Nothobranchius furzeri: one gene and its partners. Each later gene encodes a partner of the first gene's protein in a complex. Links are inferred from orthologs where the notes say so. Each region holds a gene or a part of one and is shown in the gene's direction. Other genes may lie near its edges. The genes, in order: nup214, nup160, nup153, nup188, nup205, ranbp2 and cetn3.

What was found.
Region 2: nup214 (region 1) and nup160 share a complex: the UniProt entries of both Homo sapiens proteins name them as parts of the nuclear pore complex. The link is inferred for Nothobranchius furzeri from reciprocal best matches to the Homo sapiens genes NUP214 and NUP160.
Region 3: nup214 (region 1) and nup153 share a complex: the UniProt entries of both Homo sapiens proteins name them as parts of the nuclear pore complex. The link is inferred for Nothobranchius furzeri from reciprocal best matches to the Homo sapiens genes NUP214 and NUP153.
Region 4: nup214 (region 1) and nup188 share a complex: the UniProt entries of both Homo sapiens proteins name them as parts of the nuclear pore complex. The link is inferred for Nothobranchius furzeri from reciprocal best matches to the Homo sapiens genes NUP214 and NUP188.
Region 5: nup214 (region 1) and nup205 share a complex: the UniProt entries of both Homo sapiens proteins name them as parts of the nuclear pore complex. The link is inferred for Nothobranchius furzeri from reciprocal best matches to the Homo sapiens genes NUP214 and NUP205.
Region 6: nup214 (region 1) and ranbp2 share a complex: the UniProt entries of both Homo sapiens proteins name them as parts of the nuclear pore complex. The link is inferred for Nothobranchius furzeri from reciprocal best matches to the Homo sapiens genes NUP214 and RANBP2.
Region 7: nup214 (region 1) and cetn3 share a complex: the UniProt entries of both Homo sapiens proteins name them as parts of the nuclear pore complex. The link is inferred for Nothobranchius furzeri from reciprocal best matches to the Homo sapiens genes NUP214 and CETN3.

The regions. Positions count from the first base shown.
Region 1 is NC_091746.1:57,218,654-57,222,153, forward strand, and holds part of nup214 (nuclear pore complex protein Nup214), read left to right. Parts: intron 1-110; coding exon 111-285; intron 286-891; coding exon 892-1,037; intron 1,038-1,240; coding exon 1,241-1,277; intron 1,278-2,041; exon of another isoform or gene 2,042-2,268; coding exon of another isoform or gene 2,269-3,500. Other genes in the region: general transcription factor II-I repeat domain-containing protein 2B-like, read right to left, coding at 2,269-3,500. UniProt on the Homo sapiens protein: Part of the nuclear pore complex. Has a critical role in nucleocytoplasmic transport.
Region 2 is NC_091744.1:79,813,594-79,817,093, reverse strand, and holds part of nup160 (nuclear pore complex protein Nup160), read left to right. Parts: intron 1-85; coding exon 86-182; intron 183-1,525; coding exon 1,526-1,631; intron 1,632-1,709; coding exon 1,710-1,870; intron 1,871-2,002; coding exon 2,003-2,063; intron 2,064-3,120; coding exon 3,121-3,237; intron 3,238-3,500. UniProt on the Homo sapiens protein: Functions as a component of the nuclear pore complex (NPC). Involved in poly(A)+ RNA transport.
Region 3 is NC_091759.1:94,286-97,785, reverse strand, and holds part of nup153 (nuclear pore complex protein Nup153), read left to right. Parts: coding exon 1-63; intron 64-145; coding exon 146-244; intron 245-324; coding exon 325-415; intron 416-738; coding exon 739-840; intron 841-2,288; coding exon 2,289-2,936; intron 2,937-3,039; coding exon 3,040-3,219; intron 3,220-3,500. UniProt on the Homo sapiens protein: Component of the nuclear pore complex (NPC), a complex required for the trafficking across the nuclear envelope. Functions as a scaffolding element in the nuclear phase of the NPC essential for normal nucleocytoplasmic transport of proteins and mRNAs.
Region 4 is NC_091746.1:61,212,051-61,216,049, reverse strand, and holds the start of nup188 (nucleoporin NUP188), read left to right. Parts: upstream 1-1,199; 5' UTR 1,200-1,259; coding exon 1,260-1,285; intron 1,286-2,453; coding exon 2,454-2,508; intron 2,509-2,706; coding exon 2,707-2,780; intron 2,781-2,853; coding exon 2,854-2,938; intron 2,939-3,030; coding exon 3,031-3,111; intron 3,112-3,216; coding exon 3,217-3,261; intron 3,262-3,346; coding exon 3,347-3,439; intron 3,440-3,524; coding exon 3,525-3,644; intron 3,645-3,721; coding exon 3,722-3,933; intron 3,934-3,999. UniProt on the Homo sapiens protein: Component of the nuclear pore complex (NPC), a complex required for the trafficking across the nuclear envelope. Required for proper protein transport into the nucleus.
Region 5 is NC_091744.1:88,200,816-88,204,315, forward strand, and holds part of nup205 (nuclear pore complex protein Nup205), read left to right. Parts: coding exon 1-148; intron 149-231; coding exon 232-348; intron 349-477; coding exon 478-615; intron 616-710; coding exon 711-861; intron 862-1,143; coding exon 1,144-1,349; intron 1,350-1,430; coding exon 1,431-1,613; intron 1,614-1,902; coding exon 1,903-1,953; intron 1,954-2,164; coding exon 2,165-2,374; intron 2,375-2,462; coding exon 2,463-2,700; intron 2,701-2,772; coding exon 2,773-2,962; intron 2,963-3,026; coding exon 3,027-3,147; intron 3,148-3,224; coding exon 3,225-3,306; intron 3,307-3,370; coding exon 3,371-3,500. UniProt on the Homo sapiens protein: Plays a role in the nuclear pore complex (NPC) assembly and/or maintenance. May anchor NUP62 and other nucleoporins, but not NUP153 and TPR, to the NPC.
Region 6 is NC_091747.1:23,210,481-23,214,604, forward strand, and holds the start of ranbp2 (E3 SUMO-protein ligase RanBP2), read left to right. Parts: upstream 1-1,324; 5' UTR 1,325-1,459; coding exon 1,460-1,531; intron 1,532-2,587; coding exon 2,588-2,655; intron 2,656-2,723; coding exon 2,724-2,835; intron 2,836-2,916; coding exon 2,917-3,069; intron 3,070-3,250; coding exon 3,251-3,481; intron 3,482-3,604; coding exon 3,605-3,759; intron 3,760-3,876; coding exon 3,877-4,072; intron 4,073-4,124. UniProt on the Homo sapiens protein: E3 SUMO-protein ligase which facilitates SUMO1 and SUMO2 conjugation by UBE2I. Involved in transport factor (Ran-GTP, karyopherin)-mediated protein import via the F-G repeat-containing domain which acts as a docking site for substrates.
Region 7 is NC_091746.1:37,904,279-37,908,289, forward strand, and holds the start of cetn3 (centrin-3), read left to right. Parts: upstream 1-1,211; 5' UTR 1,212-1,355; coding exon 1,356-1,372; intron 1,373-2,223; coding exon 2,224-2,362; intron 2,363-2,727; coding exon 2,728-2,842; intron 2,843-2,925; coding exon 2,926-3,117; intron 3,118-3,486; coding exon 3,487-3,530; 3' UTR 3,531-4,011. UniProt on the Homo sapiens protein: Plays a fundamental role in microtubule-organizing center structure and function. As a component of the TREX-2 complex, involved in the export of mRNAs to the cytoplasm through the nuclear pores.

The DNA.
Region 1 (3,500 bases):
GAAAAAATGCTTTAAATTCAACGTTTAAACTCGACAGTTTCAATATTTTTATTAGAAATGAAACTGGGTGCACACACACTTTTAACCTTCCTCCTCCTGGTTCTCCTCAGCAGGTGGATTTGGCAACGCTCCGGTGTTTGGGAGCCCTCCTTCTTTCGGTGGTACCCCAGCTTTTGGGGGCGGAGCCGCCTTTGGCTCCAGCCCGTCTTTCAGCAACCCCATGGGTCCCTCCGCTAGCAAAGTGTTTGGTGAGGGAACTGCAGCGTCCAACATGGGAGGATTTGGGTAAGAGCAGAAATAAAACTACTTCTGAAGAGTAGATCGGTGCTGACTGGGCAGTTCCCATGTAAAGAAGTTTGATATGGAAGTCATTCTCATGGAACTCTGTGCATCCATTTCCAGTTTAAATACCAGGAAAGCTGCATTTGATCTATTCTGTTTCTGTTGTGGTGATTCGGCATGTGTTTTGATTGCAGCGAGTTTGGCTCAGAGCCTAAAACTATGGATCTCTGCAGGAGTAGATTATTCCCCTCAGATAATCCCACTCTGGGGTCATGCTGCCTGCAGATTAAACTGGCCTGCTCTCTCTACTTCTCCCACTGTTTTGCTTAACCTCTTCTCTCTCTCTCTCTCTCTCTCTCTCGCTCTCTCTCTCTCGGTGGGCCTGATTCCTGTGGAAGGATCTAATTCCTGCTCATATCCCCGCCTTTAAATCTCATATATTCACGTCTTCTGCCTCGCTGACATGTTTGCTTGAAGCAGAACATAATCCCTGCTCTTGTCTGTATAGATTACAGATTTTATGTTGTCATGCATTTAGGCTCATTTATGTTTTAACCAGACCATGTTTCTGAAACGCAACACACTACTCGTGTTTGCCTCTGTGTCCAGGTTCGCTTCAGCCCCCAGTGGCCCTTCCTTTGGATCCATAGCCAATCAGAGCGGCCCGTCCTTTGGGAGCTTGGCCCAGCAGGGTCCTGGATTTGGAAGTCAGCCCAGCAGCTTCTCAGGCTTTGGACAGCAGCCACAGCCCGGAGGTGAGACGTCTACCTCACAAAAGGAGGGAAAGTTTGGCTACAAAGGAAATTTGGAACAAAACTTAAAACCAGCCTTTTAGTTTTGATTATTATGTTTGCTGTTTACATCTCTTACTTTCCCTCAGAAGAGATTTATGTGAACGGTTCGTGTTTAAGTAAATGCTGCTGTTGCTTATATACGGTTTGTGTTTTTTATTTCATAGTTTTCACTGCAAACACCTTTGGATCACCTGCAAACCAGTAAGTGTGAATTCATATTTTGGTTGAGCACGGATGAGTGGCTGCACGTGTGCGGCACGTTGTCATGCCTGTAGGGTTTCCACGCTTCCGCAACGCTGCTCCCTGCTTTAATACCTCATCTAACCTCGTTTCTGTCCCTGTCCTCGCCTTTGTCTTCAGTTTAGACTCACTTCCACCATTTGGCTGAACTCGTGCACATTTTCTGTTTTAAGTGTTTGGATACAAATTTAAATTCAGTTTGTTTATTTATATAGCACCAAATCACAACCAGAGTCGTCTCAAGGCACTTCACACAGTAAACATTCCAACGCAGGTCAGGTCATAAAGCCAGTCAGTAAAAAGTTTCCTATATAAGGAACCCAGCAAAATGCATCGGGTCGCTGACTAGTGTCAGTGACTTTACAGCAATCCTCATACTAAGCACGCATGCAGCGACAGTGGAGAGGAAAACTCCTTTTTAACAGGAAGAAACTTAAATAGGTTGTTTTTAGAACAAATCGTCATTAGATTAGCTTTTTTATCCTGATGCATCTTCATTTTTATGGACTTTCCTCTTGATGTTTTCCCTCCGTTGGCCAGTGTGAGTCACATGGTTCAGCATCATGACCCTTTATCTCAGGGGTGGGCAATTAATTTTTACAAGGGGCCACATGACAAAACCCGAGTTGCATCGGAGGGCCACATTAACGACATCTTGAACCCAAGTTGGCTTAACTTTCTTAAATAGTAAAATTCACTAAATTATATATCACAAATAGCTGGTACTGGTAATCAGAAGAATACAACTAAAATAAAATAATGCAAATATTTACATTGGGCTATGCTATGTGAAACTGTGGCGCATATTCCAAATAAAACAAAAACAACCGCAACCACCGAATCAATGTCATTTTATTTTAACATGTTTAACTCAACAAACAAGAAGTTTATAGAAATGCAACAATACAATGACTTGTGTTATGTTTTCTTCAGTGAGAAATAAGTGAGTTTTTCAGTGAGAATAATCCAGCCTGTTTTGGTTTTGAACAAGGGCATTGAAATCTGGCTGAATGGCTGAGGTGGCTATGCGAAGAACAGCTGAGAGGTGGTCATCAGTGACAGAGGACCTGTGTTTGGATTTGTTGAACTTCATCACCGAGAATGTCTGTTCACAAACATAGGTAGATCCAAAGAGAACTAGCATCCTCTGAGCATGATTCCTCAGGTGTGGAAAGTTCTCTTCTTTGAGGGAGGAATAAAAGTCCAGCAGTGAGACTGACCTGAAGTGCTCTGCCAGAAGTGTGTCAGACTGCAGGTCGATGAGTTCCATCTGAACATCACTTGAAGCATTATCCACACTGCAGGTGAAGGGAGAAGAAACCATGTTCATTTCATTTTCAAGAGCTTTGAAATCTTGAAATCGCCTTGAAAACTCTGCATGCAGTACTTCTAACTTGGCTGAGTACTTGTGGAGGTGATTGGCATTTGGAATAGCCTCCTTTAGTGTTGGCAAGTGGGTCAGAAAGTTGTCCTTCACTTGGCTTGAGATAAACTGCAACTTCCTCATGAAAGCCTTTACTGCACTGTACATCTCATGCACAAAAAGTCCCCTGCACTGCAGTTTGACATTTAGTTGGTTCATTAGTGCAGTCACATCCACAGCAAATCCGAGGTCTGCCACCCAATCTTCATCTGAAAGCTCTGGGACGGCATGTCCTTTCTTCACACAAAAATCCTGAATCTGTTCTCTCAGATCCCAGACACTTTTCAGTACCTTGCTTAGGCTGAGCCACCTGACAGAGCAGTGGTAGCTGATGTCACCATGTTCCATCTCATTTTCCTCCAAAAGAGCAATAAACTGTCTGTGATTTAATGCTCTTGCTCTGATGAAGTTAACAGTTTTAGTTACAACATCAACAACGTGGTCCATCTTTAACACTGTCTTACACAACACTTCCTGATGTATAATACAATGCAAAAATGTCAATTTCTGCACAGGATTAATTTCTGTTACTTTATCCTGCATTCTCTTTAAAAGTCCTACATTTTTTCCAGTCAGATTTGGACAACCATCTGTTGTTACACCTGCCAGATTGTCCCATTTCAGTCCTAATTTTTCCAAACATGCATTTACCTCTATGAATAAGTCATTGCCGGTTGTTGTTCCTTTCATTGACTGCATGGCAGCCAGCTCCTCCGTGACTTGAAAGTCTGTAGTTATTCCACGTAAAAAGATGAGAAGCT
Region 2 (3,500 bases), on another chromosome or scaffold:
CGGACAGATTCTCACACATCTGATCTGTAAATATTCAGACTGATCCTCCGGTGATGTTTCAGCTGAATGCTTGTTTGTGTTCCAGGCAGCTGGATTGTCTTCGCCAGCTGGTGGTGGTTCTGTGTGAACGCTCTCAGCTGCAGGATTTAGTCCAGTTTCCCTACGTCCACCTGCATGATGAGGTGAGCCCTGACTGAAAATCTTTTATTTCCTGCAGTTGTTCATCGTATGGCATCTTTACCTTTACCATGATATCTTTACCATTACCATAGTATATTTACCTTTACATTACATTACCATGACCATGGTATCTTTACCTTTACCATTACATTACTGTGGTATATTTACCATTACCATGGTACCTTTTCCTTTCCCATGGTATCTTTACCATTACCATAATATCTTTACCTTTACCGTGGTATCTTTACCTTACATTACCATTATCATGGTATCTTTACCATTACCATAATATCTTTACCTTTACCGTGGTATCTTTACCTTACATTACCATTATCATGGTATCTTTACCATTACCATAATATCTTTACCTTTACCGTGGTATCTTTACCTTACATTACCATTATCATGGTATCTTTACCATTACCACAGTACCTTTACCGTTACCATGGTATCTTTATGTATCGGAAACAGTCCAAACACACTTGTAACCTATGCATGTTATTGTTTGTCTGTAAATGGGTCCATGTGGAAGTTCTGACTGGTCGGTATAAAGGCTCCACCTCTGAGGCAGGTCTGGAGCTGATCACCACTGGGCCTGATGGGGAGCTGGGGCGTAGTGCTTGGGTGGATATCTTTAACCCTAACGGTTTCATTAGATCGATAGGCAGATTGATTGGTGCTGTGTCTGCAGTGATGCGGGCGTTGTACCGGCCTGTCGTGGTGAAGAGAGAGCTGAGTCAGAAGGCAAAGCTCTCGATTTACCGGTGGATCTACGTTCCTACCCTCACCTATGGTCATGAGCTTTGGGTAGTGACCGATAGAATGAGTTCGCGGATACAAGCGGCCGAAATGAGTTTTCTCCAAAGAGTGGCTGGGCTCTCCCTTAGAGATAGGGTGAGAAGCTCGGTCATTCGGGAGGGGCTCGGAGTAGACCTGCTGCTCCTCCAGATCGAGAGGAGCCAGTTGAGGTGGCTCGGGCATCTGGTTAGGATGCCTCCTGGACGCCTCCCTGGTGAGGTTTTCTGGGCACGTCCAACTGGGAGGAGACCTAAAGTAGACCCAGGACACGGTGGAGGGACTATGTCTCTCACCGGACCAGGGAACACCTTGGGATTCCCCCGGAGGAGCTGGCCCAAGTGGCTGGGGAGAGGGAAGTCTGGGCCTCTCGCCTTAGGCTGCTGCCCCCGCGACCCGACTCCGGATAATCGGATGAAAATGGATGGCTGGATGGGTTTCATTCATCCACAGTCTGGCAAAGCCTGAACAGATTTTCTTCTCTGCAGTTGTTTTGTTGCATGTGTTTATTTCTAAAAATGTAATATTTACCTTCTCACGGGACCTTCAGGTAGTCAGCATCATCGAGTCCCGTGCTCGTAGTTTGGATCTGCTGACCCACAATTACTACGAGCTTCTGTACGCCTTCCACATTACCCGACACAACTACAGGAAAGGTGCCAAAGCAAACATGCAAATTCCACCTAATTATACGTGTGTGCGACTGCATAGTGTGTGTATCCGTGTTCACTCAGCGGGGACCGTCATGTTTGAGTTTGGGATGCGTCTGGGCCGGGAGATTCGTACGCAGCTTGGCCTTCAGAAACAGGTGAACTGTTACCTGGCTGCTCTTAACTGTCTCCGCCTCATCAGGAGTGAGTACGCCTGGATTGTTCAGCCAGCATCAGGGAGCACGGTATGCTACACACACGCACACACACACACACACACACACACACACACACACACACACACACACACACACACACACACACACACACACACACACACACAGCTGTGTTGATAACGATGTGTTGATCTGCTGCAGTATGAGCGACCTGGAGCGTCTCCAAAGAGGAATTCTGATGGAGAGTTTTCTGCTCCACCAGGTGAGATGCTGCTGGTGTGAGGTAAAGGCGCGACATGGGCAGCCCCAATCTCTCTCCCTGTCGTCTCTCTGATATCATCCTGCCTCACCTTTCAGTAAATGATTACAGCTGGTGTAATTACTTAACTACACCAGCTCAGTGGCCTAATGGTGGAGTGTCCACCCTGAGTCTGGGAGATCAGGGTTCTAATCCCGATCAGGTCATACCAAAGACTTTAAAAATGGGACCCAATGCCTCCCTGCTCAGCATTAATGGGTTGGGTTGGGGGTTAAACCACCAAATGGTTCCCGAGCACAGCCACAGCTGCAGCTCACCGCTCCCCCAGGTGATGGACCAAATGCAGAGAACAAATTTAGCACACACATCAGTGTGTGTGACAAGTAATGCGTTTTTAACTTAGACTTATGTTTTTAATGAATACTGATGTAACAATCAGAAAAGTAATATATTTTACTGCCAAAGGAGTAACGGATGATGATACTTTTATGTGTACTTTGTTGTATCTTCAGAATTATTATTATTCTTTGGACCCTATCACCACCTCTAGATATGATCTGTCCTCCAAACACACCCACATCACCCCGCTTCTCCTCCAGCTTCACTGGCTGCCAGTCAACTTCAGGGTTCATTTCAAGATCCTGGTTCTGGTCTATAGGGCCTTACATGGACAAGCACCATCTTACATTGGTGATCTTCTCAGTCCCTACACCTCCAGCAGGTCCCTGAGGTCCAGTGACCAAAGCCTACTGGTTGTGTAGCACCAGGTTAAAGGTCAAAGGTGACAGATCATCTGCTGCTGTGGCCCCCAGACTCTGGAACTCTCCTTGTTCTGCTCTTTCTACCAATTCTGCCTTTCTTGGGATCTACTGATTACCTCTGTCTTCTCTTTCTTTTAACTCACATTTTTATCACAAAATAAAATTTTATCATGTTTATGATATTTTAATTCATTTAAAATATTTTTGAATTTTGTTCTCATGATGCACCGTGCGATTTTTATCTTGAGAGGCGCTACAAAAACGATTGTTTTCTTTTTTTCGCTACTGTGTGTCTCCAGCTGCAGGTAGACATCGGGTGGACATTCTGGAGCTGAATGATCTGGAGAGGGAGTACTTTCTGTCTCGGGCCCGCCTCTCTCTTGCACAGCACCACCCACCATCTGCAGCTATTGCAGGTAGTTGTGCACCTTGTGTAGGTCGTGTGTATTTGCACACATCACTGAAACCTTGTTCACACAGAGTTTTAGCCTGACCAGCTGGGAACTCTTGTATTCAAATAACCCCGCCCCCTGAGAATTCTAACTGAGCCAATCAGCGCTGAGCAGCGTACGTCACACACCATGTTGCTCATTTTCTCAAACATGGCGTCTGAAGCAGAGTTAGGTGCAGGTCTTCCCTCTGTTCTAAATGACTTGAACGCGTCTTTAAAACCAAAACA
Region 3 (3,500 bases), on another chromosome or scaffold:
TCTACTAGCTCCGCCCCCGAGATCACAGCTGTCACTCCTACTAAGGAAGCAGCCACAAATAAGGTTTGTCCTACATCTGCTTATTCCTACTTTTATTTTTAGAAGTGTAAAAGAACACTAGATAAAAATTTTTGTCCCCAACAAGGATCCACCGAAGGCGTCGACACCGCCCTGCGCACCGTTCACCTTTTCCTCCCCCATTGTCAAAGCAACTGCTGCCAGCCCACCTTCTTATTCCCCCTCCGTGAGTACATGCTTAAATTAACTCGTCAAATAGCCTGCTGTAAAAACACAGGTGATGCATGTTGTCTTGTTTCCTTGTAGACCGGATTTACTTTCAGCGCACCTGTAGCGAAGTTGGCTCCCTCTCTGTCCATGTCCAATGGAAATCTCGCCACACCCTCGGCACGACCAGGTGAAGGCGTTCGCCCACTCTTCATCTGTTCCTGATGGTCCACGGCAGGGGTGCCCAGTCCTGGTCCTGGAGGGCCGTTATCCAGCAGGTTTTAGTTTTAACTGCTTCAACACACCTGATTTCAATCAGCAGGTGATTAACAGGCTTCTGCAGAGCCTGATGAGATGCCGCACAGGTGATTCAACCAGTTAATCAAGTGTGTTGGAGCAGAAAAAACACAAAACCTGCTGGGAGACCGGCCCTCTAGGACCAGGACTGGGCTCCCCTGGTCTACGGTTACAGAGCATCTTGAGTGAGCTTCCATCTGTTTTCATGTGTTGCAGTGAAGTCAGTCGGAAGCAAGAGCACAGAAGAGTTTGAAGGACCTTTTAAACCAGCCAAGACGCTGAAGCAGGCCAGTGTGTTGGACCTCCTGAAGTCCCCTGGTAGGAACCTGTAGAATAATTTGTTTTTTGCGCTCTGAGGTCGGGCGGTAAGGAAAAATCTTTTCTAGCTGATATTGATCAGTCCAACAAATAACTGGTGATGTATTCACCCTCCAGAGCAATAATGGGCCCATATATGATTAAAATATTACCGTTGGAACCGCGGAGACATCAATTGTTCTAAAATATAACATTTTAGAGACTTTTTTCAACCTGAGCAACGTATCGTAGACCATGAAGAGGAAAAAGCTTTGGCGACACGCAGCAGTGGCTAACTGGCCCACTCCGTGATTGTAAAGTGCACGTTGTCGGATGTTAAAAGGCTAAAATACGTCCACACGACTGAACTGTTCGATCCCTTATTGTCGTTTGCTGTTTCCTCCGTCTTTTTCTTTTGGGGCGCAATTTTTTTTTTCTGTTTATATCATTCATGTCCCACCTGTTACCTGCGGTAAGAGGCTAACCTGTCTTCCCGCCAGGCATGAAAGCGGTGCAAAAAGGCAGCAAAATGTGCTATATGACAGTTAGCCACCATTTTAGTGAACGGTTTACTTTCTGTTGAAAGCAAAGTAACGTTTTGGACGCATCCCAGAAGCAAAGGGAAGCTTTCATGACGTCACAAGTCTATTTTTTTGCACGCTAAACTTCCAAAACACGTCAAACACCAGTTCAGATCGGGCCAGACAGGAAGTCAAACATGAAATCAGTGACAAACTTCAGAAAACTTTCAAAATAAAAGTCAGAACAGAAAATTAACCATACCGTTTTGTGTACATGGAGCCGTCTTGCTCCTCGCTATTGTGTGGACTTCTGAAATCGCGCATGGGGTTGGAATTCTCTCGTGATTTTGCGATCTCGCGGGATCGGCTGTGTCTGAATGGCTCCCAGTCGGAGGGGAGCTCGAGGGTGAAACGCCGCTGCTTTCACATCTGGTGGAAAGCTGGGGTAAAGCTACACAAACATTAGCTGTTAGCGTGTCAGTCTGTCTGCCGTGTGATTGGTCCAGCCGGGTGCAGCACTTAATATGATTGGCTATCACATCTATGGAGGAAATGTTCAAACGGATATTGCTTTCGTTCTACTGCCCAGCCCTACTTGTGGAGGACGCTATTTGGACTTTAGTGGATAAAGACGAGTTTTGTTTCAGATGGTTGTTTTCTGTCAGTGATTAGCGGCTTTGAACCGTATGTTGGACATAATTTCAAATGTAGTTTGACAAAGGTGGTTGTATCCGTGATTGGCACTAAAATCCCAGATTTCTGTATGTGTACAAAGAGAATGTGGCAAGAGGACCCTGATTTTTCTTGGAAGTATAGAATATCTCATCCTCAGGACTTATAAAAATATTATCTTTAAAAACGATCGGTGCAGGAGGTCAATCGCCCGGCCTTTTTGTGCGTATTTTAATAAAAATGTTTTTATCTTAACGCTCCGTTTCCCCTCTCTAGGTTTTGCTTCTCCCGTTGCTCCGAACTCCTCAGACCCAAACGTTGCTCCACAGCAAACACCGACGCCTCCCGCAGCACCCGTCTCAACGGCCACAACCTCCTCCTCCTCCTCCCTGCCTGCTCCTACAGAGTTTGTTAGTTTACCGAAGGCCCCTGCGGGTTGGAGCTGTGACGAATGCTTGGTTCAGAACAAGAAGTCGGACACAAAATGTGTTTGCTGTGCGGCTTCAAAACCAAACAATTCACCTAAATCCACGGAGGGCAAACCGTCAAACGACAGTGCTGTGGGGCTGGAGAGCATCAGCACGAGCGCCGCTGTGACCACGACGGGGTTCAGTCCCATCTTTTCTAAGCCTGCAGGAACCTGGGAATGCGATACGTGCATGATCTCAAACAAACCAGATGTGGTGAAGTGTGTGGCCTGTGAAACGGCCAAACCCGGGACGGGGCTCAAACCCTCTCTCACCTTTTCTTCTGCCTTCTCAACTGTTAAGACTGCACCCGCTCCCACAACCCCCATTTCCACAGGCATCAGTGGATTTGGAGATATATTCCAAAAACCCGAGGGCTCGTGGGAATGCCAAACGTGTTTGGTACAAAACAAGGCGGAGGACACTAAATGCGTGGCTTGCAAAGAAGCTAAACCGGGTAATGGCAGCATGGTGTTTTGATATTTACTTTGTTTTTACTCCACTTTCTTATTGAGGCATGTTCTTACTGAGCATCCTTTTTATGTTCAAATCGTTAACAGGAGCTACAGCGGAGGCTGCCTCATCAACCAGCAGCGCCCCAGTGTTTGGATTTGGAGACAAGTTCAAGAAACCAGAGGGATCCTGGGACTGTGACGTTTGTCTGGTGCAGAATAAAGCTGCTGATGTGAAGTGTGTTGCCTGTCAGACGGCCAAACCTGGAGCTAAGGTGGAGCCTAAAGGTACCTAAAGGCTGTTGGGATGAATAGCTTATCAGAACGGGGAAAAAGGATTATTTTTACAGCGATCCTAGAATTTAAAACCACATTAATGTTAATTGTTGACGGCTTGAGTTATGAAATGTACCAAAAACCTGCTTTCCTGTGTAAATTTTGTCTGTAGCGGCAACCTAGAGACGATTCATTCTGAGAAGAGCTGATTACTCAGTTTTCCTTTTTTAAGACAAACATTTTGCAGGTTTAAAGAGCAAGTCACCCCCAAATCACATTTTTTTTTTTGCTGA
Region 4 (3,999 bases), about 4.0 Mb from region 1:
GCTTCTTGTTTATACCGATGTAAAACTCTCTTGTGAATACATTTCACATAATACATTTCCTCATTTTGATCTTGGCAAATGGTCAAAACTTCACCATTTATTTCCACAGGTGGGAGTAACTTAACTATATACGTGTTGGTTAAACTTTCAATTCTGGTACCGAGGGCTATTTTAAAACTGCTCGACATGTTTCTGAAAGCTTGTCTAGCTGCGTGCTATTCTGCTCGATCTGCTAATGTAAAGTAACTGTATATGACGTCACGTCTGCGAATTTATGCACTTTGAGGCGCATGCGCATTCTAATTAATTGTAACCATCTGGAGATGATCTGTCAAGTAGCTCCACTCTGAGGCGCATGCGCATTCTAATTAATTGTAAGCACCTGGAGATTAGCCAGCTGTCAAACAGCTCCGTCTGCGTGTCGGCGGTCACGTGGTTAATGTTTTCCTCTTCCAAACAGCTCAGCGCTGCCAGCGTCTTCTGGCAGAACTGGATGCTGAAGCCATCATTTTCCCATTTCTACAGTAATATTTTGGTGATTTTTGACAATAAAGTGTATTGATTACTGTAACCGGCAGCTGTCTGTTTCGCTTTATATAGAGGAGCGCTGCCGCTGCAGCGTCCTTGACAAGCCAGACAGCCATTCTAGATATTTATAGTTGTTCCTAGCAGTAATTAACATCCACACCAACTATTCAGAACGACTATTTCAGATATCTGGAATGTAACTCCTAATTCCGTTTCTTCTTTCTACAATGTTCATTCTTGACAGGAAGTCTGTAATTGTGGAAGCGCTGTAGAAGCCAATAAACATGAATGGGAAATGTGATGTCATTTGTTACATTTCACATATCTAAAAAAAACGGTCATGCTGGACAGTAGAAATGTTCTCGTGGATATCTGGAATTTTAATTTCTACTAGGAACAATACAACACATATCCAGTCTGCTTAATGTTAAAACGAGATATCTGAAATAAGTGAAACCAGTTTTAAAATAAAAGAAAATGTATTCAGTGATAAGTAAACAGAACACCTAAATATGAATTCAAACAAAAAATGAAAATTGAAAATGAACAGCAAAAGTGCCTCAGTAAAGTAAAATTTAAAACAAACCTGCTGCAAGGAACTGAAATTAAACGTTTTGTTCAGAGGAGGGCAGTAAAGCATCATTAAGCACAAGTCCAATTCACGAAGAAGAAAGTTTCCGTTTGTAAAGACGTCAGACACTTTACTAACCAATCACAGGGCAGAATCTAAGATGGCGGAATCGGAGATGAGTGTCAGGTAGAAACATAAGCGACTAACTAACATTTATTGTTAATAAATAGTTAAGAGACGTTGATAATGAGTAAATCTGGCTACAGCCCGTGTTCATTTATTAAATCACAACTGTGGCAACAGAGTCATTTAACAGTCTGTTTTAAAAAGAATTAGCACCATGCTCGTATAGCTTAGCATGTGCTAGCAGCTAAACATTTCAAAAGGTTTTTGTAGCGCGGCGCTACCTCACATGTCAACAACAGTCAGAGCTGTTGTCAGCCAGGGAGATTTTTCTGGCAGAGATAGAAAACGCGTGCTGATGTCAAAATTATTACGTCTTGTAGTAAAAGAGGCTAGTCTATTGAAGCTAAACCCATCATTTAGACACGATGGAAAAGACCGTCTTAAGTTGGAATTATTTTAACGGACAGATTTTCTAAAATGAACCCAACAGAACCTTAAACCAATCGTAGTAAATAAACTGTATTATTTAACAGTTTTACCATAAATAAAAGGCTTATTGAGGAACATTAGAGGACATTTAAAAACTGCTGAATCTGTCAGACCGGTGTTGAGAAAAAACTTATGGGATTTCAAAGAGGCAGATTGACAAAGTTGTTTTATATCAAAGCTGGTACAGAAACACGATTTAAGAGAATTTAGTTCAAGGTTTTAAGGAAAAACAATAAAGCATTTTAATTCTGTATCAACCTTTGTATTTAAGGCAGTCAGTGAGGATGTTTGAAGTGTGTGTAGTGGTTCCATTCATATTTAGTTGTATTGTTCTTGGTGATTCAGTACAGTGCATTAGCTCAGCATTCTCTACAATCTGACCTTGATGATCATTTGGGTTTGAATTTCAGTTTTCTTTAAACACAAACTAAATCTCTCTTATTGTGTTTTAAATGCATTGGGTGGGTGCATGTGCAACATGCGTTTGACAAACAAAGATATGTATAACCTGATTGACAAACTTCACATCTAATTGAGGCATAAGGAGTCCGGGCAGGTCTACAGTTTTGCCCAGGACACATTTATGTTTTATCAGTTAAATGCATCTGAGGTCACTCACAAATGCAGCCTGTCAAGTCAAATTTGCATATTGTAGTATTTTCCTTGTAGTGGATCTGCATCATATCTCATTTATTAAAGGTTATTGATTTGCTGACTTTCACCTCTCTTCTCCTCTTAGGAGCTGTAGAGAGTTATGGACCATTTTGCTGGGGAAGTCTGCTCTGAGAGAATCGGTATGTCCTCCTCACTCAAAGAGAGCGTATGCTGAACTTGACCATCCAAAATTTTAGACAATTTATCCATAAGTAATTTCCTGGTTTAACTCATGCTATTCTAACTTCTATATAAACACACACACACACACACACACACACACACACACACACACACACACACACACACACACACACACATTTGTATTTTTGGTGCAGGCTCAAATAGAGGGAGAGCTTGACAAGCACTGGGACAGACTGCATCAGGGACTCAGTTACTACAAGCCACCCAGGTATAATTACATCAAGGTATTTTCACATCAGATACATGAATAAATGAGTAACTATTAGCTTCACCTCCCGTAGTTCATCCTCCGCTGCGAAAGTTAAGGAAAACAAAGATGTTGCACAGCCCCTGAAAGACTTTGGTCTGAGGATTAGTAAACTGCTGGTAAGCATTTAGATCTTTTTATGTCACAGAGGGTGGATTCTTACGTTTTCATGACTGCTGGTTCATAAGGGATTGTTGTAATAATGTTTTAGAATCTTGATGAGCAGCAGAGTGTGCAGCTTTTACAGTGCTATCTGCAGGAGGACTACAGAGGAACTCGTGATTCTTTAAAGGTGTTTGCTTTCAACTTTTTTTGTTCTATAACTTACTAGAAAAACAAAAATCCACTGGTACTAAATCATAGGTCTGAAGAGATTTAACAGTAGTTTCTGTGACAGGTTGTTCTCAACGAGGAACGGAAGAGTCAGGCTCTTCTCCTAAAGGTATGCACCCAAACTAGCATTACGTCACTTCTGTGCCATTTTCCAATCATTTCTGTTTTTACTAGTGTTGTTAATTTTTTTACAGATCGCTGATTATTACTATGAGGAGCGCATGTGTCTGCTCAGATGTGTCCTGCTGCTGCTGACATACTTCCAGGATGAGCGACACCCCTATCGGGTGAGACATATTTCTTTTTTTAAATGCATTTCTTCCTGATGTGATGTTTTTTTGTGTAAATAATCCTTGTTTTTTTTTTGTCAAGGCCGAGTACAGTAACTGTGTCAACAAGTTGGAGAAGGACCTGGTGAACAGCTATCAGTCACAGTTTGAGAACCTCTTCAAGGCTGAAGCACCAACATGGGAAACCCATGGCAACCTCATGGTAAACACTGGGTTTATTTTTACAGCAGCGTACTGTAGCCCCGTCTGCTTCCTTACACTCTTCTTCTCGTTTGCAAGACGGAGAGACAAGTCTCACGGTGGTTCCTGCAGTGTCTGAGGGAACAGTCTCTGCTGTTGGAGATCATCTTCCTGTATTATGCATACTTTGAGATGAGCCCACCCGACCTTGTAAAATTCACCAAAATGTTCAAAGAGCAAGGCTTTGGGTTGCGTCAGACTAACAGACACCTGGTGGACAAGAGCATGGACGTGCTGGTTGACCGGATCGGGTAAGGTCACCTCACTGACTTTGTATTTATGTGTTAAAATTGGATGAATGTATTTATTATTGTAAG
Region 5 (3,500 bases), on another chromosome or scaffold:
GTCTCTGGCTGATCAGGCTCTGCTAGGAGACGTCTTCCTCTTTATGAAGGAAGGAATGTTGGGATGTGAGGGTTTTGTCCAGGAAGAGTTTTATATCCGCCGCCTCCATTCACTCATCACAGACTTCCTGGCCCTCATGCCAGTGAAGGTTAGAGGTTTCAACAGTGACATCATAGATTGTTGTCATCACGGAGGTTTGAATCATGCTTTAACAATCGCTTTAAACTGCAGGTGAAGCAGCTTCGTAATCGAGCCGACGAGGATGCCCGCCTGGTGCACATGTCCCTACAGATGGACGGTGAACTCCCGTCATCGTTGCGGAAGGATTTAGATCATCTCATGGTTCTGGTCAGTCGTCTTATCTAGCAAGTGTTGAGGATAGACTTAAGGAGCTGCAGCAAAGATGCAAGAAGTGAAACCTTTCTGTTGTTTGCGTTTGGAGTTTAAGCTTGTTGTGTTTGCTGTGTGTGGTTTCAGATCGGGGAGTTTTACAGTAACGATCCGTTTGGCTTGGAGCTGGGTTTGGAGTTCTGGTGTCCCACAGAGTCTCTCCAACACACCTCGCTGCAGGGGTCCTACCTGGGAATGGCCCTGCAGCGGCCTCCTCATAAACAGGTTGAACTTTCCTGACCTACAGAATTCGAGACAGCTGCACCATGACGCACTTTTGTGTGACTTTCTTTGTAAAGTGTTGTTGTTTTCAAATGCAGGTGGTTCTGTCCAAGTTTGTGCGTCAGATGGGAGACCTCCTGCCCTCCACCCTGTACCTTTCTTATCTCTGCATGCTGAAAGGCCTCGCTAATGGTCCACAGTGCGCTCATTACTGCTTCAGTCTTCTTAAAACAAACGGAGCTACACACAGTAAGAATGAACTGTTCTTCATGTAAACACATCACAGTATTTAGAGGAACAGTTATTTAGTAGAAATCCAAAAGGTCCATTTTTACAATAAAATAATCATTTTTATGATTTATTAAAATGAGTTTAGGCGACTTTAGTCCGATAATCGTCCTGAAACCGCTTGCTCTTAAACGCGTGAAGAATGGCTAAACGGGTTTGAGGTTAGCAGACTCTGGGCGCTGCTGTTGCTAAAGCTAAAAATCCTTGTGAATGTCTGCTAACCCTAACCCTACTCTGCTGTAGGCGACAACATCCAAGGAGTGTCGGGCAGCCCGGTGTCCTGGGAGCATTTTTTCCACTCCCTCATGCTTTACCACGAAAACCTGCGACGGGATCTCCCTAATGCAGACTCCTCCCACTACCGCCACCCGCCTCTCAGGGGCATCACACAGAGAGAGCTTGAAGGGCTGACTTCCTTTCTGCAGTTACTCACCACCATCATTTCCTGGGTACCGTACAACATGTGGTCATATTTTTAAAAGCTAACATAAAAGCAAAGTTTAAAAACTCTTATTATGTTTTTCTCTCAGAGTGAGAATGCTCGTCTGGCCTTGTGTGAACATCCCCAGTGGACCCCGGTGGTGGTGATGTTGGGGCTGCTGCAGTGCAGCATTCCACCCGTTTTAAAAGCTGAGCTCCTTCGGTCCCTGGCAGCCTTCGGGAAGTCACCAGAGATCGCCGCTTCCCTGTGGCAGTCGCTGGAGTACACCCAGGTAGAACCGAACCGTCTTCCACAGGGATGGAAAACGGTTCCTGGAGCCCTGAGATGAAACACACACACACACACACACACACACACACACACACACACACACACACACACACACACACACACACACACACACACACACACACACACACACACACACACACACACACACACACACACACACACACACACACACACACACACACACACACACACACACACACACGAGAAACCAAGCTTTAGGTTGCTTTAAGTATTTTTCTGTAAGAATTTTTATTTGTTTTTTGCTCTAGATCCTTCAGACAGTTCGAGCGCCGGGTCAGAGGCAGGCAGCAGGAATTGAGGTGGGTGTTTTTATTGTTGATGACAGATTTTCAATAAGAAATACTATTTGAATAATTATTACTTGATAAAAATGTAAAATCAGCTTTACTTGAGGGAGGTTTTTGGGGTTTTGTTAGATTTTTAACAGCTTCATTATAAACATTTATTATTATTTAGTTCTAAATCTTCCTTTTAACTAGACGGGACAGGTGACGGCAGTGTGTGTTTCAGGTTGAGCTGAATGAGATCGAGTCCAGCTGTGAGGAGTACCCTCTGACGCGAGCCTTCTGCCATCTGATCAGCACGCTGGTGGAGAGCAGTGTGCCTCTTAATCTGGGGGTGGGCCTTCGTGTCCCCGGCTTCCAGCCCTATCTGAACTTTCTGCGTGAGTCTGTGTTTCTTCCCTTTCCCACAAGAGCGTACCGCCGTCCCGCTGAGAAGGTAGCTATCTCTCTAGCCTTTAGCGAGCTGTCTGTTGTGTGTTTTATAACTAAAACAAGCGTTTATTCGTTTATTCCTCACGCGTCAGTGGGAGGTGGCCGACTCTGTCCTGGAGGTGTTCCACAAGCTGCTGCGGAGCTATGAGCCGCAGCCATCAGACTTCATCCAGGAGACGGTGGAGCTGCAGGGCGAGCAGGTCCCCGCTGACAAGCCCCCCGGCCACAGCATCATGTTCCACCTGCTGAACGACTCGCCCATGCTGGCTCTCTGCCTCAGCCTGCTGGAGGAAGGGGCTCGCCAGCTGGACACCTACGCACCCTTCCCTGGTGAGAATACAAATGGCGTTTATGTGCACGTTGCTATGACAACAGGGCTCGTAACTCCCCCGTCCATTACAGGTAAAAAGCACCTGGAGTCAGCTGTGCTGCACTGCCTCCAACTTCTGGACCTGACTCTGCAGAAGGAAGTGGTGTTCATGGATCTTCTCAGGGAGAGCCAGGCCTCCATGCTTGTGTCTCCGCTAGAGCAGCTCTTCCAGGGAGTCAGTCCTCAGACCCGACGAGCCGATCACATTGTCAACATTGCCAGGTTTGTGCATGCGTAATAATAATTGAGTTAGTTGTCATCCCGCAGCTCTGATGTCCTCCTGCAGGTATCTGTACCACAGCAGCTCCAACCCAGAAGCAGCTTTCCAGAGTGCTAAGATTCTGCGGCGCATCGCCACCTACCCCAACATCCACGTACGGCTGGTGGGAGATTTCACACACGACCAGGTATCTACTACCAGATGTGTTTCCTTTCAGGGTCCAGGTGTGTTTATTGTGTTTAAGCAAACGCGTCTGTGCTTCAGGCTGTGAGCGAGAAGCTTTTGGCCGGCTTTGTGGAGTGTCTGGATAATGAAGAGGCAGAAGAAGGACCAGAAAAGGAAGATGGTAACTTCTGGTCTGTTACTTGCACACCACTGGAGTACTAACAACTTTAAACTGATGAACCAAGGTTCTCAACCATCAGACTTGGACCAACAGAAGAAGATGGCAAGAATTCGACACGAAACCCAGATCCACATCCTGAATCTGCTCATCACCTCCTTGGAGCTGAAGGCACCTAATCTGGCTCTTTACCTTCT
Region 6 (4,124 bases), on another chromosome or scaffold:
GTCCCTGAGGTCCAGTGATCAAAGCCTACTGGTTGTGCAGCACCAGGTTAAAGACCAAAGGTGACAGATCATTTGCTGCTGTGGCTCCCAGACTTTGGACCTCTCTCCCCCTGAGCCTGAGATCAGTGGACTCAGCGGTCTCCTTTAAAAAGCAGCTGAAGACTCACTTGTTCAAGCTGGCTTTTGTATGACCTTCTTCACCACTCTCTCTTTATTCTGCTCTCCCCACCTATTCCACCTTCCTCAGGATCCACTGATTTCCTTCTTTCCCATTCACTCTCTCTCTTTCTTAACATTTTTTCTTTTAAATCGCAACAGCTTATTCTTGCTCATTTTAAATATATTTTAAACATTTTCAAAATGCTTTTTTATATTTTTACAATTTTTATATTTTTTGTTTTTGTTTTTGTGAAGCGCCTCGTGATTTTTATCTTGAGAGGCGCTATAGAAATGATATTTTCTTCTTCAAAACCAAATTTGTCAAGAGACTGAAAAATGAAATTATGCTCAACTGTATCAAAGGCTTTGTAAAAGTCTAAAAACAAAATGAAACTGTTGTCTTGAACAAGCTCAGGGTAATTTAGGAGGTCTACAACAAGCCTAATATTATTGGTGATATGTCTGTTCTTCATAAAGCCTGACAGTGTGTCATCAATGATTGAGTGTAGAGTTGATTTTAACCTTTTAGCAAGAGTGACAGCAAGGATTTTATAATCATTATTGAGAAGACAGATAGGGCGCCAATTATCAATGAGCAATGGATATTTTTTGGGTTTAGGAATTAATATCGTTAGACCTTGAGTCAAGGTGGGTGGAAGGACACCTCTTCCAATACTTTCATTGAAAACCTCATACAAAAAGGGCTAAATCTTGGGATTACTCCTGCAGAATGTACAGACCCATGTGAAAACCAAATAGTATTATCCCATTGTGTTTTCCAAAAACTAGCATCCTTTACAGTAGAATGACTTTTTTGAAAGAAAAAAAAATCTGGTAACCCCCTGGCATTTAGAGAAAATAAAGAAAGCACGACAACAACAAAGAACACCAACAGTAAAGTTCAAATATTATTGAACAACCTGTGTTGAAAAGTGTATAAGATTGGACCACCGTAACTAGTTCCCAGCAAACCAATAAGTAAACTGCAACACCAACACATTAACTTGAAAATGTGTTAACATACCCATATTAGCGAGGCGGAGGTGGTCTCCCCCATGGTCTCCCCTCTGTTTTAAAATTCTGTGCGTCAGCGTGCGTCAACGGAATATTCGTTCCTTATTGGTTAAAAGATCGACCCACGTGACCTTTGCCTTTTGACGGGAACGACTCGAGACTGCGCACTACCATCGTGGGGAGTTAATGTGACGTAGGAGGAGAAATAAATATTGTGGATTTCGTTAACTCGTATTGTTTTATACGGTATCTTTGACTATTTTAGACTTCTTTGATTACTGCGGCCATGCGGCGGAGTAAGGCTGAAGTGGACCGTTACGTTTTCTCTGTACAGAGTTCCTCTCCTTCACTCAAAGAGGTAAATGGTTCCCCCTAGCTATCTGTTAGCATGCCGCTGCCATTAGCAGATTAACATGTGACATTCAACTGGTGTAAAAACTAAAATGGGACATGATGTAACTAGACGATTAGTGTAGTTCTTAGTTAGACGGTGTGTAAATAGTTTTTGCACTAACTGACTTTGGTTTAAGCCGTTAGCTTTCCCCGGCTGGTAGCGCTCTGCTAGCTTACCCGGCTTGTTTCGGTCGGGAAATGCGCGGTTTAGCTTTGGGAGACGGCATCAGCCTGTTAGCCTCCTCGCTGACAGCTTTATTCCACTCATGTTATTTTGGTGAGACGCGTAAATACATCCACCTGGATTCGCACATACAAATAAGTGAAAGTCTTCTTTAGGAGCCGTGTGGCACTGGGAGAGACCTGACCCTAGCAGATTCAGTGATTAAACTTTTATTCCATAATGATATCAGACATTATGTTGCTGTGAATGAAATGTTTCATTAAATCATTTCCCCATAACTACTGAGCAATGTCTTATATTTCATTAAAGTCTGACTTTACCGAACTTGTTATTTTTAATTTTAAAAATGGCCAAGAGGTGATGTCGGGATCTAGGAGCTGATATTCAGCATGTTTCCACTACATCGGCCTCTTAGAGCTGATTTTACAACGGGCACATCCGTGGGCAGACAAATTTTATCTAAATGAAAATGTTCCTGAAAAACATGTTCTAAAACGTTGACAACTGACATTTTAACCGGTTTTAGACTTAATACCAGGTCAGTCTATTGATTTGTCTGATTTATTTAGGCTAAATGCTTGATTTTGATGCTGAGCATTGAACAGAGTGTTGGTTAAATTCAGAGTTTAAAAACTGATTAGGTTAAGAAATGTTGCTGACATTAGTGACATTTTTGCGTGCAAATAATGAAAACAATGTCTAGCTATCACTCATGAAAAGAGGCCCCAAACATCAGCAGGACATATCGGCTATTGGCTGACTGTTACCTCAACATGTCGAACGCTCATTCAGAAATATCACCGGTGATGTGCTTTATTGTTCTGTTGTCCCCTACAGAAGCCAGTTAAGGGGTTTTTATTTGCCAAGTTGTACTTTGAGGCAAAAGAATATGAGCTTGCAAAAAGGTAAGGATGAACATCTCCACTGATTCCATCTTTAAAACATTTGTTGACATGTTTAATTCTCTTTCTAGGCATGTATCAGATTATCTCAAAGTACAGGAAAGGGATCCCAAAGCACACAAATTCCTCGGACAGCTCTATGAGCGAGATGGAGACATCAGCAAAGCAGTAGGATGTTACAAGGTAGAGGGAACTCTATTAGATAGCATTTTCTGATTGGTGTTTTTTATTGATCTTTAATGTTCTTGACCTCTACTCGCGCAGCGCTCAGTGGACTTGAACCCAGTGCAGAAGGACCTGGTGTTAAAGGTAGCCGAGTTACTTGTAAAGAAACATGAATGTGACAGCAGAGCAGAGTTTTGGGTGGAGAAAGCTGCAAAACTCATGCCTGGACACCCAGCAATCTACAACCTAAAGGTTTTTATTTTCTTTCTCCTTCATCTGAATTAAAACTTCTCTTTGTACTCTCCATGTCAGCTGAGAAGTGTTTGTTCTGTTGTGTACTTAACCAACAGCTGTCTGTTTCTTAGCCAGTTGTGTGTGTACTAATAAAAAGCTGAAGCCACACTGAGCTTTTTGTGCACCTGTCGTTGTTCAGGAGTCTCTGTTGAGTCGTCAGGGCCAGCAGGGCTGGAACCAGTTGTTCGACCTCCTCCAGGCTGAGCTGGCAGCACGGCCAGCTGATGCTCATGTGAATGTGAAGATGGTTCAGCTGTTCTGTCAAGATGGTCGGCTTGATGAGGCTGTTAAACATTGCCTGGCTGCTGAGAAAAGGGGCCTGCTGCGCAACAGTCTGGACTGGTACACCGTGGTGTTGACCACTCTGCAGGTCAGAACATCTTTTAAATATACTGGAAGTATAAATTAGCAGTTTTTATTTCTGTGCTTTGGACTTGTTTTATCATAATAAACCGCAATGTTTGAGTTGAGAATGAATCTGAAGAATGGATAGTTGTTGTTTCAGGAATATCTGGATCAACCCAGTGTTTCCAGTACTGAGAAGATGTATCGGCATCTCCAGAGAGAAATGTTGTTGACACGCTGCAGCCTGCTGAGGATTACACTGTCTGGAAGCGGAGTGCAGCCGAGCCTGGAGGCATTCAGGGGGTAGGTCAGGTTCTAGACAGTCTGTATATCGTGAGAAACTGTTCAGTTTAGTATATTCTGTATTTGCATGCATTTAATATGATTTTGATCACTGCACTCATTCTTTTTGTTTTGCAGTTTTGACCAAGCAATGCAAGAGCTGAGCAGCATTGCCAGTCGCCATGCAGATGAACTTTCTGAGGTGTTTGTGGAGATGAAAGGTCACCTGTACCTGCATGCCGCAACATTGCTGTTGAAACTGGTGCAGGACCGCCAACAAACCTGGAGGGCTGTTGTTGACCTGGTGGTGCTGTGCTACCTGCTAGCTTGTCAGGTACTTCCTGTGGTGTCTGTGTTGGTGCAAACTAGAGTTGTCACGGTAACCG
Region 7 (4,011 bases), about 19 Mb from region 1:
TGGAAGTCACACTGTAAAATTTTCTAAGAAATTATTTGTATCATGGTGCAGAAGATACATATTTAGTGCCTACATATGTGCAATAATTCTGGTCCTCACATACCTGTTACTTCTTCTTTAAGAAGCTTATCTATCCTCCACTTGCTGACTGAATTAGTGGCAACTGGTATCTGTATAAAAGACACCTGTCTACACCTTCAGTCAGTCAGACTCCACCATGGCCAAGACCAGAGAGTTGACAAACGACATCAGTGTCAGGATTGTACACCTGCACAAGATTGGCTTGAGTAAATCCACAACAGGTAAGCAACTTGGTGGGAAGAGATCAACTGTTGCAGCAATTATTAGAAACTGGAATAAATACAAAATCACTGACAGTATTCCTCGACCTGTGGCTCTGTGTAAGATCTCACCTTGTGGGGTACAAATGATCTTGAGAATGGTGAGGAAACAGTCCAGAAGTACATATGGGGAATTAGTGAATGACCTGAAGAGAGCTGGCACCACAGTGACAAAGGTTACTACTGGTAACATACTACATTGTTATAGATTAAAATCCTGTGGCACTCAAAAAGTCCTGGCGATGTTAGAACATCCACAACTTAGTTTAGAGAAAGAAGATTTTTCCTATGAAAGAGCACTCTTTGGTGGGCAAAAACTAAAAGCAGCACTTTTTGGCAACTCTGAACTCTGGCTGCTTAGAATTTCTGAAAGTTAAGATTTAACTGGGCTTGGAATAATAGTTTTATAAAGCAGCTTGAACGTATGAGACTTTAACAGCTGGTGGAGAGGGTGTCCCCCCACCCCAAAATTTTTTTTAAAACAAAATCAAGATTTGAGGTTCATAAAGACCTTGTGAGTGTTACATTAGCACGTGAAGTCATTAGAATAATTCTCTATGTCCAAATTCACCAGATATTGAAAATTTTAGGAGAATTTAGGTACCTTACATAATATACAGGCCCTTTCTTCTTCTTTATGCAATGGTGATGTGTCAGAATATTTTTGATTCATCATTGGTTTGTATGTGTATATATATATATATATATATATATATACCGGGCATATGTATATCCATCCATATGTATAATATAGACTGTGGTATCAGTTATGAACACGAGGTGGCAATAGTGCTCTAATTGACTGCATAGAGCAATGACAACGACCGGGTAAGCGGCCTTGAAGAAGTAACATTAACCAACCAGATCTCGCCTAACTGCTGCCTGGCAACCAGCGACCAATAGGATTCCTGGTGTGTGAGCGCGGATAAACGGATTTGTTGTGTTTGCTGGAAGCTGTAGCCACATAGCATTCAGAATAACATTTGGTTTAAAGGTTTTATAAATTCACCTGGAATGAGTTTATCTCTAAGGTAAGGAGCTAACCTTTTGTCGCGAGATGTGGCTGTTACAGTTCAGTTGAAACCGGTGGTACGTCGAGATTTGTTCCCCAGTTGAAAAACGTACGCCTTCGCTTGTCTCGTCAAGATGATTTCGTCCTGCCAAATTGTACAATTATAGGCGTAGATGTTATTTTTTTTATCAGGATAAGACATTTATGAGGGAACGAGTCCCTTGTGTATAACTGTAAATTGAGTAATATTATCTAATTGTATCGTAATCTGAATTAGATTAGAATTAGTGATATTCACTAAACATGATGAATTTCACAGCTACAGCAATGACCAAATGATTAAGATATATATTTTTAGGGATTTTCTTGAAATAATATTGCTAAACACAACAGTTTACAAAGAAGCTGGCGGAGAAACGGTGGGGGACCCGAATGTACTAGTTTTTTGTTTTGTTTTGTTTTTTTCCATCTGTCAATAAACAATTTCCCCCAGACTTTTGGAGGTCCTCCCAATGTTTTTGGTAAATGTGGGTTGTTTTTGTTGTTGTTGTTGTTGTTCAGCAGAGGCTTTGGAGAATGAGGTTTACCTTATTGTTGACACATGACCTTAAACCTTAACCAAGTTTGACCTACAAAGCTTTAGATGTTCTTCTGGGTTATTTTGCTTTTGATTTTTTTTAGAACAAGGCATAAGGTAGATTTTTTTAAGATCCTTTAGCCTACCCTGTGTCATCAGAGAGACCCCAATAAACATTACAGAAAATGGTTTAGTTCTCATTGGATAACAAAGTGTATGGGTTAATGCATTAATAAGTCATGGCTGTGATACAGGTAGTGTCTGAGGTGAGACTGCATGTGTGTTTGTTTCAGCAGAACTGATCTTGCAGCTGAGACAACCAAGCGCAAGAAGAGGAGGGAGCTCACCGAGGACCAAAAGCATGAAATTAAAGAAGCTTTTGACTTATTTGACACGGATAAAGATAAGGAGATTGACTATCACGAGCTGAAGGTAAGAAAATGGGCCATAGTGGTGGTTGTTATGGTTACCTTATGGTTTTTGTGCCTGAAATAATGCCGTATATAAGTTATGCTTTTATAACCTCATCATTCCTATTTTTCTTTAACTGCTGTGAATGTGGAGCACCAGGTATTTATGTATTATTATGTAAGTAAAAGTAACTAAATACCATTTAATCACCTTTTGGAGAAACGCTAATGGGTTTTCCATGTCTGAAGGCACCCTGCTGAAATAAAGCTCCAGGGGAATTGGAGCTAACGTTCTACAGCAATAACATTTATTTGTTGTTTTAGTGCTAGTTACTAATTGTTCTAATCCTGAATTCAAACCAAAACAACATTTAAACATCTTGTCAGGTGGCGATGCGCGCTCTCGGTTTTGAAGTGAAGAAAGTGGATGTTCTGAAGATTCTGAAGGATTACGACAGAGAGGGAAGTGGGAAAATCACCTTTGAGGATTTCAGCGAAGTGGGTAAGGTGGTCATCGGCTCTGGTATTACCTCATAGCTTGAGGTGCTTCATTAGCTACTAAACCTTTTCCCTACCCCTCAACAGTTACGGATCGCATCTTGGAGCGAGATCCCAAAGAGGAGATCATGAAGGCTTTCAAGCTGTTTGACGATGACGAGTCAGGAAAGATCAGCCTGAGGAACCTGAGACGGGTTGCTCGAGAACTCGGGGAGAACATCAGCGACGAGGAGCTACGCAGCATGATCGACGAGTTTGACACAGACGGGGATGGAGAAAGTAAGACCGGAGTCTGAGATGAGAGCAACTCTGTCTCTCTTTTGTTGTGATTTTGTGTCTGATTAGAGCCGCAGATGCAACAATACCAACATCATCACTGCATCTTCTGGCACACACAGGCATTTTAATTATTTATATGATTGTTCCTAACATTGTTGCTTTCACTGTTAGACCAGATCCTGTCACGTCAGCAGGCATCTGCTGCCCTGGAACAAAATAGATTTACTAACGACAATGTGTAAACATGTTCAGTTAAAGTAACAAAAATCCACTGCTGCTTCGCTTTTTGTTTGTTTTCTTTCATTCTTGCGTCTAAGCTTTCCAGGTAAATCCAGTAGATCTGACCAGGTGTTTTTCCCTTCTTTTCAGTAAATCAGGAGGAGTTCCTCTCCATCATGACCAGAGACCCATGAAGAGGTTTCCCCATCTGTAAGTTGGACTCTTTGCCCATATTGGGAGGAGATATGGGCCTTGTTCTCTTGCTTCTGAGGTGGACTGGACTTTATCAGGAGCCTGGAGCTTTGTTCTGACTTGGTTTGATAAATAAAAGCACCAGATCGTGTCTGGACCAACATCTGCTCACACTGCTCAGTTCCTCTCGTAGACATGAAGTGTCAATATGATGCTGACCTGCTGGCATTTCTTTAAGAAGCGAGCTTTTATTCATGGAGTGTGTTTGTGTAGAAGACGAGTCTGAAGCTCCGTTAGGAACGTGTTAATGTGATGTAGTAAAACACAGAAGATCAGATCTGTTTCACTCGTATCCTATTTGACCTGTTGCAGTTATTAGTTAAATGTGGCATATTTATTTTTAAATTGTTTTGCCAACCCTACTCATTTGTCATTTCCCAAAGAGCCAGAGTCGTCAGACCCGGCACCATCATACTTTAATAA